Oryctolagus cuniculus: one gene and its partner. The protein of the gene in region 1 purifies or fractionates together with the protein of each later gene. This does not show direct contact. Links are inferred from orthologs where the notes say so. Each region holds a gene or a part of one and is shown in the gene's direction. Other genes may lie near its edges.

Region 1 (4,349 bases):
CAGCTGCTCCCCTTTCAATCCAGCTCCCTGCTAATGCACTTGGGAAATCAGTGGAGGATGGTCCAAGTGCTCAGACCCCTGCCACTTATGTGGGAGACCCAGATGGAGTTCCTGGCTCCAGTCTAGCCCATTTGGGGAGAGAACCAATGGATAGAAGATCTCTCTCTCTCTCTCTCTCTCTCTCTCTCTTTCTCTCTGGTTTTGTCTTTGAAATAAATAAAATAAATTATTTTAAAATAAAGGATAACATGAGCCGGCGCCACCTAGCGGTGCCCGCACCCTGGGGTTCTAGTCCCGGTCGGGGCACCGGATTCTTTCCCGGTTGCCCCTCTTCCAGGCCAGCTCTCTGCTGTGGCCAGGGAGTGCAGTGGAGGATGGCCCAACTGCTTGGGCCCTGCACCCCATGGGAGACCAGGAGGAAGCACCTGGCTCCTGCCTTCGGATCAGCGCGGTGCACCGGCCGCAGCGCGCCAGCCGTGGCGGCCATTGGCGGGTGAACCAACAGCAAAAGGAAGAACTTTCTCTCTGCCTCTCTCTATCCACTCTGCCTGTCAAAAAAAATAATAATAATAAAATTTAAAAAAAGGATAATATGAGGATCTTTGTGGTGCTGGACACAGGTATCTTGACTATTCACGGCACATCCTGGTTGAGCTACTGTACTATGGCTTTGCAAGATGTCACCACTGGGGAAATTTCGTTCAAGGATCTAGGGCTTTTTCTGTGTTCTTCATTTCTTTTCTTTTTTTTAAGGTTTTATTTATTTGAGAGGCAGAGTTACAGACAAAGGAGAGACACAGAAAGAGAGGTCTTCTATCTGCTGGTTCACTCCCCAGATGGTGGCCATGGCCAGGGCTGAACTCATCCGAAGCCAGGAGCCAGGAACTTCTTCCAGGTCTCCCAAAAGGGTGCAGAGGCCTAAGCACTTGGGCCTTCTTCAGCTTTCCCAGGCCATAGCAGAGAGCTGGATCAGACAAGAAACAGCTGGGACACAAACCGGCACCCACATGGGATGCGGTGTTGCAGGCAGAGGCTTAGCCCACTACACCACAGCGCCGGCCCCTCTGCATTATCTCTTACAACTTCACTTGAATTGACAGTCATCTCAAAATGAAAAGTGTAAAAACAAACCAGAAATAACAATGAGATTTTAAAAAATTTGATGAGATAATCAAAGAACAAGGGACTATTGAAAATGATAAAGATAGCTAGAAATACAACCAAAAATCTTAGAATATACTAATAACAAATGGGTTTATATATTAATACACTAGAAGTGAATATATTATTGCTAAAATTAAGACGTTAACTAGATGGCGTTATTAGTTTCCTATTGCTGCCTGAATTTAGTGCTTTAAGACACAAATGTGTCTTCTTACTGTTTCGGGGGTCAGAATTCCAAAACGGGTCTCATGAGACTACATGCAAAGTGCTTCCGCGGGCTCCCCAGGGGGGAATCCAGCCCAGAGGGCGCGGGCCGCGCCCTAGTGCAGCTCCGAGGCCAGCAGTGCGGGCCGGGTCCCGCTTCGCTCCTGCATTTGCCCGCTCATCCCCGTGAGGGACCCCAGCCGGCCCCAGGCCAGGCGCCCACGCCCTTCCTGCCACACGCAGAGCCCGAGGTGCAAGACACAGCCACGCCTGGGGAGCCTCTGCGCTACAGGCGGGTTAGAAAGCGGATTCAAAAAGGTCTGCAGATGACAGTAATCGAATCAAGAGATAGCACGGGCGCCCTTCAAAACGCGAGGGGTCAGCAGCGAGGGAGGTAAGGCCGGACTCGGGCGGAAAAGGGAACTTGTCTGGTTTTCCTCCCAGGTTTCTGAGGCAGGTGAAGCCCGGAGTCCGCGCTGCTTCCCGCCCGTGTTCCGCTGGCGACGTCCGGCTTTCGGCCGAGGAGGGCAGGAAGTCGCCCACGAGGGTGGGCGGGCCGCGACGGGGACCCTCGCCTGAAACCCTGCTAACCGGGAATGCGCGAGGCCACGCGGCGGTGCAGAAGGGGGAAAGCTTCGGCCGCGGCGGGGCACCCAGCGCCTGCCCGCCCGCCGTCCCGCGTCCTGCGGCCGCAGCTGGGCGCCGTCGGGGGCGGGGGCTGACCGCGGCCGCCCGGCCTCCCACGCCGAGCGCGCCGCCTCGGCCTCTCCCAGGAACGCGCCGGCCTCTGGGGCCCGGCCCCGCCGCCTTCCCCGCCAGTTCCCGTTCCGGGCCGGCCCTGCCCCTGCGGAGCTGCGGGCGCCCGGCGCTCCCGCACGCTGGCCCGGCCTGGCTCCCGGCCGCAGGGAGTTCCTCAGACCTGGCTGCCACGTAAGTGCCGGCGCTGCGGCGGGGGTTGGCGCGGGGAGGCGGGATCTGCGTGCGGCTGGCGGCCACGCTGCCCGGGGACAGGTGCGGGGACAGCTGCGGGACAGGGCCCAGAACCCCCCCCACCCCGGGGTGGGGTGGGGAAGGATGCTTGACGGTGTCAGGCACTCGCTCCCCAGAGCGTTTCAGAACGTTCTTGGAAAAACAAATATTCTTTAAAAATTTATTTCGGTGCAGTTTTTGAAAGCCATGTGTGTTTTTTTTCATAACAACTTTTCGTGAACTTTCTGAAGACTCCTCATGTGCATGAGTCTCAGAAAACTTATTTAGCTCCATCTTCCATGAGCTTCTGGATACCCTCGCCTCACCGGGGGCTAAGGCGGGGTTATAGTGTCCACACGTGGGGCTGACCTGTGGTCAGCTCACACCTTCGTGTCGTTTGCCGCCAAAAATGGGATCTGGAGACCAAGGCGAAGGAAGGGCAGACAGGGGCCTTCACGAAGCCCCGCCTGCTCGGCCTTGGAGCCGGGGTCCCCCCAAGGAGGGAGATGACCATGGGTGTCGGGATCTGCTGTCCCACGTGCCCTAAGAAGCCTGGGCTGTGCACGCGGGCTTTGTGAGAAAGCTAAGGAATACCAGGTTGCCATCCTCTCAGAATGTCCTGCTTGCTCTGTATTTTCAGGCAGGGCCGGGGAAGCCAGTAGATCCCGGCCAGGCCCTGGAAGAAGCCAGCAGGCACCTGGCCAGGGGCCTATGCTCACCTGGGGGCGGGGGAGCGGTCCAGCTGCAGGTAGCTGTGAGCCAGGCAAGCAGTGGGGTTGACAAGGGACCGGTTTCTACTGCTCATGCCAAGCAAATGCAAAGGGCAGATTTTAAACCAAAAGAGGAGCGGGGTGGCTCAGAGGTTCTGAGAAGGTTTGACTTTTGAGGATTTGGTGTCTGTCAAACACGGGTCCGAGTCTCAGCTCTTTTTCCCACCCGTGCAGCGGGGCTGCAACAGCACAGCCACGATGGGGCGGGGATGCTTGTCCAGAAACTGCCTCCCTTGAAGGCCCTTGCCCTGCTCTTTGGCCCTGCTGCTGCCTTCCCCAGGGGAGGCCCCCCGGTTCCTTCCCCTGTGAAGCCGTGGTTTCTTCCCCCTGGGGATGTGGCTGCTCTGATGTGGGAGCTCGTGGCTGATGGCCAGGCCATGGCTCTGGAATCCAGGTTTGTCTGGGCGATGGGGATAGATTTCCTGACCCGAGAAAGCGGCCCTTTATCTTGAGACCTCTGCCCCACCACCATGTCCCCCCCCCCCCCCCATCAGATATGTCCTCCTGGAAAGCTGGGCCGTGGACAGGCTGTCAGAACTGGTGTGGCCACACGTGTGAGGCTCCCCTGCCACCACGCCCTGCTCTTCCTGTTTTGCTCCTGACTCTTGGCCCTGTGACAGCAGCTCTTTCTTCAGTGACCAAGGACAAGGGAGAATCTGGGGGTGGAGGAGCTCAGATCCTGCCAATGGCAATGCCTACATCCCCGCCGGAACCTCCCCAGTTCGTGACAGTCACTTTGGTGGGAGCAGCAGCCCTGTTCCATTTAGACATTAGGAATGTAAATAGTGAGGTCAAGTAGGTATGGGGGTAGGGGGAGTGTATTTATCGTGTATGTGTGATCCCTGGTGTTTTCTTAAACAGAATTACCAAAAGGATTCAATATTTGTTCAATACCCAAGACATAAACTAGGACTTGAAGTTTAAGTTGCTAGTTCCTCATAGGACTCTTTCTTGGGAGACTGAGGCAAGATGGAATTAGAAAAGGTAAAATCTGCATTTGTGCTGAGGCGTTTTGGAAGCTTTCACAAGACCTGAATCCTTTGCAATCCTGGGGAAGTCACTTGCATGTCACTCAGAGGGCCTCCTTCCATCTGTCCCCAAGACCTGAGCTCATTCTAGGAAAACACGGATGCTCACTGAGGGCCAGCTTGACCCTTGTGATGAGAGGTGAGCAGCCATTGCCGTCCCAATTCATTGATGATTCTTGGCCTGTGCTAGAGAATTTGTCAAGGCAAGACTTAC
Region 2 (3,812 bases), on another chromosome or scaffold:
GCTGGGACTCAAACCAGCACCCACATTGGATGTGAGCATTGCAGGTAGCAGCTTTATCCACTATATCACCATGCCAGTCCCAAAAATATAGTTTCCTTATTCTTGCTCTGACAGTAATTAAGTCTATGATAAAGTCACTGAATTTCTAGAATCCTCATTTTCCTCATCGACAAAACAAGTATTGAATTACTATTTGCAAGATCCATTCCAGCTTTAAAACTATATGAATACTTAATACTTAACTTTTTTTTAAAGATTTTATTTATTTATTTATTTGACAGGTAGAGTTACAGACAGTGAGATAGAGAAACAGAGATAAAAGCCTTCTTTCCGTTGGTTCACTCCCCAAATGGCCGCAACGGCCGGAGCTGTGCCAATCCGAAGCCAGGAGCCAGGTGCTTCTTCCTGGTCTGTCATACGGGTACAGGGGCCCAAGGACCCAGGCCATCCTCTGCTGCTTTCCCAGGCCACAGCAGAGAGCTGGATTGGAAGAGGAGCAGCCGGGACTAGAACCAGCGCCCATATTGGATGCCGGCAACAAAGGCAGAGGATTAACTTAGTGTGCCCCGGCACCCATTCCAGTACTTAACTATTTTATACAGAACAGTAAACAATGAAGAATAATCTGTCTTTTTCATTCCCTAATAATATTGTTTATTTCTTTATTTTGAGATTTGTATAAGGTCATATTGCTCAAATGTAACAACCTCAAAATCTCAGTAGCTTACAAAGTAAACTCTTTTTTTAACTTTTATTTAATAAATATATTTTCAAAGTACAACTTTTGGATTATAGCGGCTTTTTCCCCCCATAAACTCCCTCCGACGCACAACCATCCCATCTCCCACCCCATTCACTTCAAGATTCATTTTCAATTATCTTTATATAGAGAAGATCAATTTAGTAAAAATTTCTTTTTTTTTTTTTTTTTTTTTTTTTTTTTGACAGGCAGAGTTAGACAATGAGAGAGAGACAGAGAGAAAGGTCTTCCTTCCATTGGTTCACCACCCAATGGCTGCTATGGCCGGCGTGCTGCACGGATCCAAAGCCAGGAGCCAGGTGCTTTCCTCCTGGTCTCCCATGTGGGTGCAGGGCCCAAGCACTTGGGCTATCCTCCACTGCCTTCCTGGGCCACAGCAGAGAGCTGTACTGGAAGAGGGGCAACTGGGACTAGTACCCAGCGCCCCAGCCAGGACTAGAACCCAGTGTGCCAGCACCACAGGCAGAGGATTAGCCTAGTGAGCCACAGCGCTGGCCATAAAAGTAAAGATTTCAACAGTTTGCACCCACACCGAAACACAAAGTATAAAGTACTGTTTGAGTACCAGTTATACCGTTAATTCACATAGTACAACACATTAAGGACAGAGATCCTAAATGGGGAGTAAATGCACAGTGACTCCTTTCGTTGATTTAACAATTGACACTCTTACTTATGATGTAATCACTTGAGGCTCTAGTCATGAGCTGCCAAGGCTATGGAAGCCTCTTGAGTTTGCCAACTCTGATCTTATTTAGACAAGGCCATAGTGAAAGTGGAAGTTCTCTCCTCCCTTCAGAGAAAGGTACCTCCTTCTTTGATGGCCCCTTCTTTCCACTGGGATCTCACTCACAGAGATCTTTCATTTAGGTTTTTCTTTTTTTGTTTTTGTTTGTTTTTTGCCACAGTGTCTTGGCTTTCCATGCCTGAAATACTCTCATGGGCTTTTTAACCAGATCCACATGCCTTAAGGGCTGATTATGAGGCCAGAGTGCTGTTTAGGACATCTGCCATTCTGTGAGTCTGCTGTGTATCCCGCTTCCCATGTTGGATCATTCTCTCCTTTTTAATTCTATCAGTTAGTATTAGCAGACACTAGTCTTGTTTATGTGATCCCTTTAGCACTTAATCCTATCATTATGATTAATTATGAACTGAAACTGATCACTTGGACTAGTAGGATGGCATTGGTACATGCCACCTTGATGAGACTGAATTGGAATCCCCTGGCACCGTTTTAACTCATTAGGGATAAGTCCGATTGAGCATGTGCCAAACTGTACATTTCCTCCCTCTCTTATTCCCACTGTTATATTTAACAGGGATCACTTTTCAGTTAAATTTAAACAGCTAAGAATAATTGTGTGTTAATTAAAGAGTTCAACCAATGGTATTAAGTAGAACAAAAAAATACTAAAGGGAATAAAGTATTAAGTTGTTCCTCAACAGTCAGGACAAGGGCTGATCAAGTCATTGTTCCTTCACTTCAAGAGGTTTCCTTTTAGGTGCTCAGTAGTTGTCACCGATCAGGGAGAACATATGATATTTGTCCCTTTGGGACTGGCTTATTTCACTCAGCATGATGGTTTCCTGATTCTTCCATTTTGTTGCAAATGACCAGATTTCATTTTTTTCCTGCTGTATATATTCTATACAGTACATATCCCATAATTTCTTTATCCAGTCATCTGTTGATGGGCATTTAGGTTGATTCCATGTCTTAGCTATTATGAATTGAGCTGCAATAAACATTAAAATGCAGCCAGCTCTTTTATTTGCCAATTTAATTTCCTTTGGGTAAATTCCAAGGAGTGGGATGGCTGGGTTGTATGGTAGGGTTATATTTAGGCTTCTGAGGAATCTCCAAACTGACTTCCATAGTGGTTTTACCAGTTTGCATTCCCACCAACAGTGGGTTAGTGTCCCTTTTTCCCCACATCCTCGCCAGCATCTGTTGTTGGTAGATTTCTGTATGTGAGCCAGAATTCTAACTGGGGTGAGGTGAAACCTCATTGTGGTTTTGATTTGCATTTCCCTGATTGCTAGTGATCCTGAACATTTTTTCATGTGTCTGTTGGCTGTTTGTATTTCCTCTTTTGAAAAATGTCTGTTGAGGTCCTTGGCCCATCTCTTTAGTGGGTTGTTTGTTTTGATGTCGTGGAGTTTCTTTATCTCTTTGTAGATTCTGGTTATTAAACCTTTAGGTTGCATAGTTTGCCAATATTTTTATTTCTCCTTCAGGTTAGTTAGATATTGGTTGCTGTAGCCTTTCATGGCTCTGTCACATTTTACTCAGCTATACAGAGCTCTGCCTGACTCTGTTCTACTCATATACCATTAACAAAGTGAAATAACATTATCAAGTCCAGAATTAATGATGATGTAAACTCCTTTCCTGGAAGGCTGACAAGTCTGGTAATGACTTGGATTCATATATATGTATTCCTTTAACCAAGGAGGGGTAATATATTTTATTACTCCTAAAATTTTAAGATTACTCATTTTCATCTGCCTAGTTTTAGTATTTAATGTGCTAGATTTTAATGTATTTCTAATAAATTAAATACGTTCTTTGGACAGAAGTCACCAATCCATTGCAGATTATGTATAGTGTGTCACAGGGACATCGACCTGACACTAATGAAGAAAGTTTACCTTTTGATATACCTCATCGAGCACTTATGATATCTCTGATAGAAAGTGGATGGGCACAAAATCCGGATGAAAGACCATCTTTCTTAAGTGAGTATACAGCTTTGATCTGGACCATTTGAGTTATGTAAAGTACCTAATGCACTGTGAATAAAATATCCCTGGAAAAATTATACAAATTGGATAACTAGTTGCAAGTGTTGTTTAAATTCTTCTAATTCTTGTTATTCATAACATTTACCTTTGAATAACTGTTTTGAGAGCAGAATTGAGAATTCCTAACAGAAGAGAGAAATCAGCTAGGAGTGTTCATTGCTTTCATATATTCAACAACTCTTTATTGAACACCTACCATGTGCTACAGCACATGAGTACAGAGTGAGCACTGAGAAAGATTAGT

What was found.
Region 2: the proteins of NOD1 (region 1) and RIPK2 purify together in Homo sapiens (affinity purification with western blotting; 4 studies listed by BioGRID and IntAct, with this or other methods). This does not show direct contact. The link is inferred for Oryctolagus cuniculus from reciprocal best matches to the Homo sapiens genes NOD1 and RIPK2.

Annotation. Positions count from the first base shown.
Region 1 is NC_091447.1:21,785,606-21,789,954, reverse strand, and holds the start of NOD1 (nucleotide-binding oligomerization domain-containing protein 1), read left to right. Parts: upstream 1-1,502; 5' UTR 1,503-1,762; intron 1,763-1,789; exon of another isoform or gene 1,790-2,298; intron 2,299-4,349. UniProt on the Homo sapiens protein: Pattern recognition receptor (PRR) that detects bacterial peptidoglycan fragments and other danger signals and thus participates in both innate and adaptive immune responses.
Region 2 is NC_091437.1:115,018,273-115,022,084, forward strand, and holds part of RIPK2 (receptor-interacting serine/threonine-protein kinase 2), read left to right. Parts: intron 1-3,340; coding exon 3,341-3,502; intron 3,503-3,812.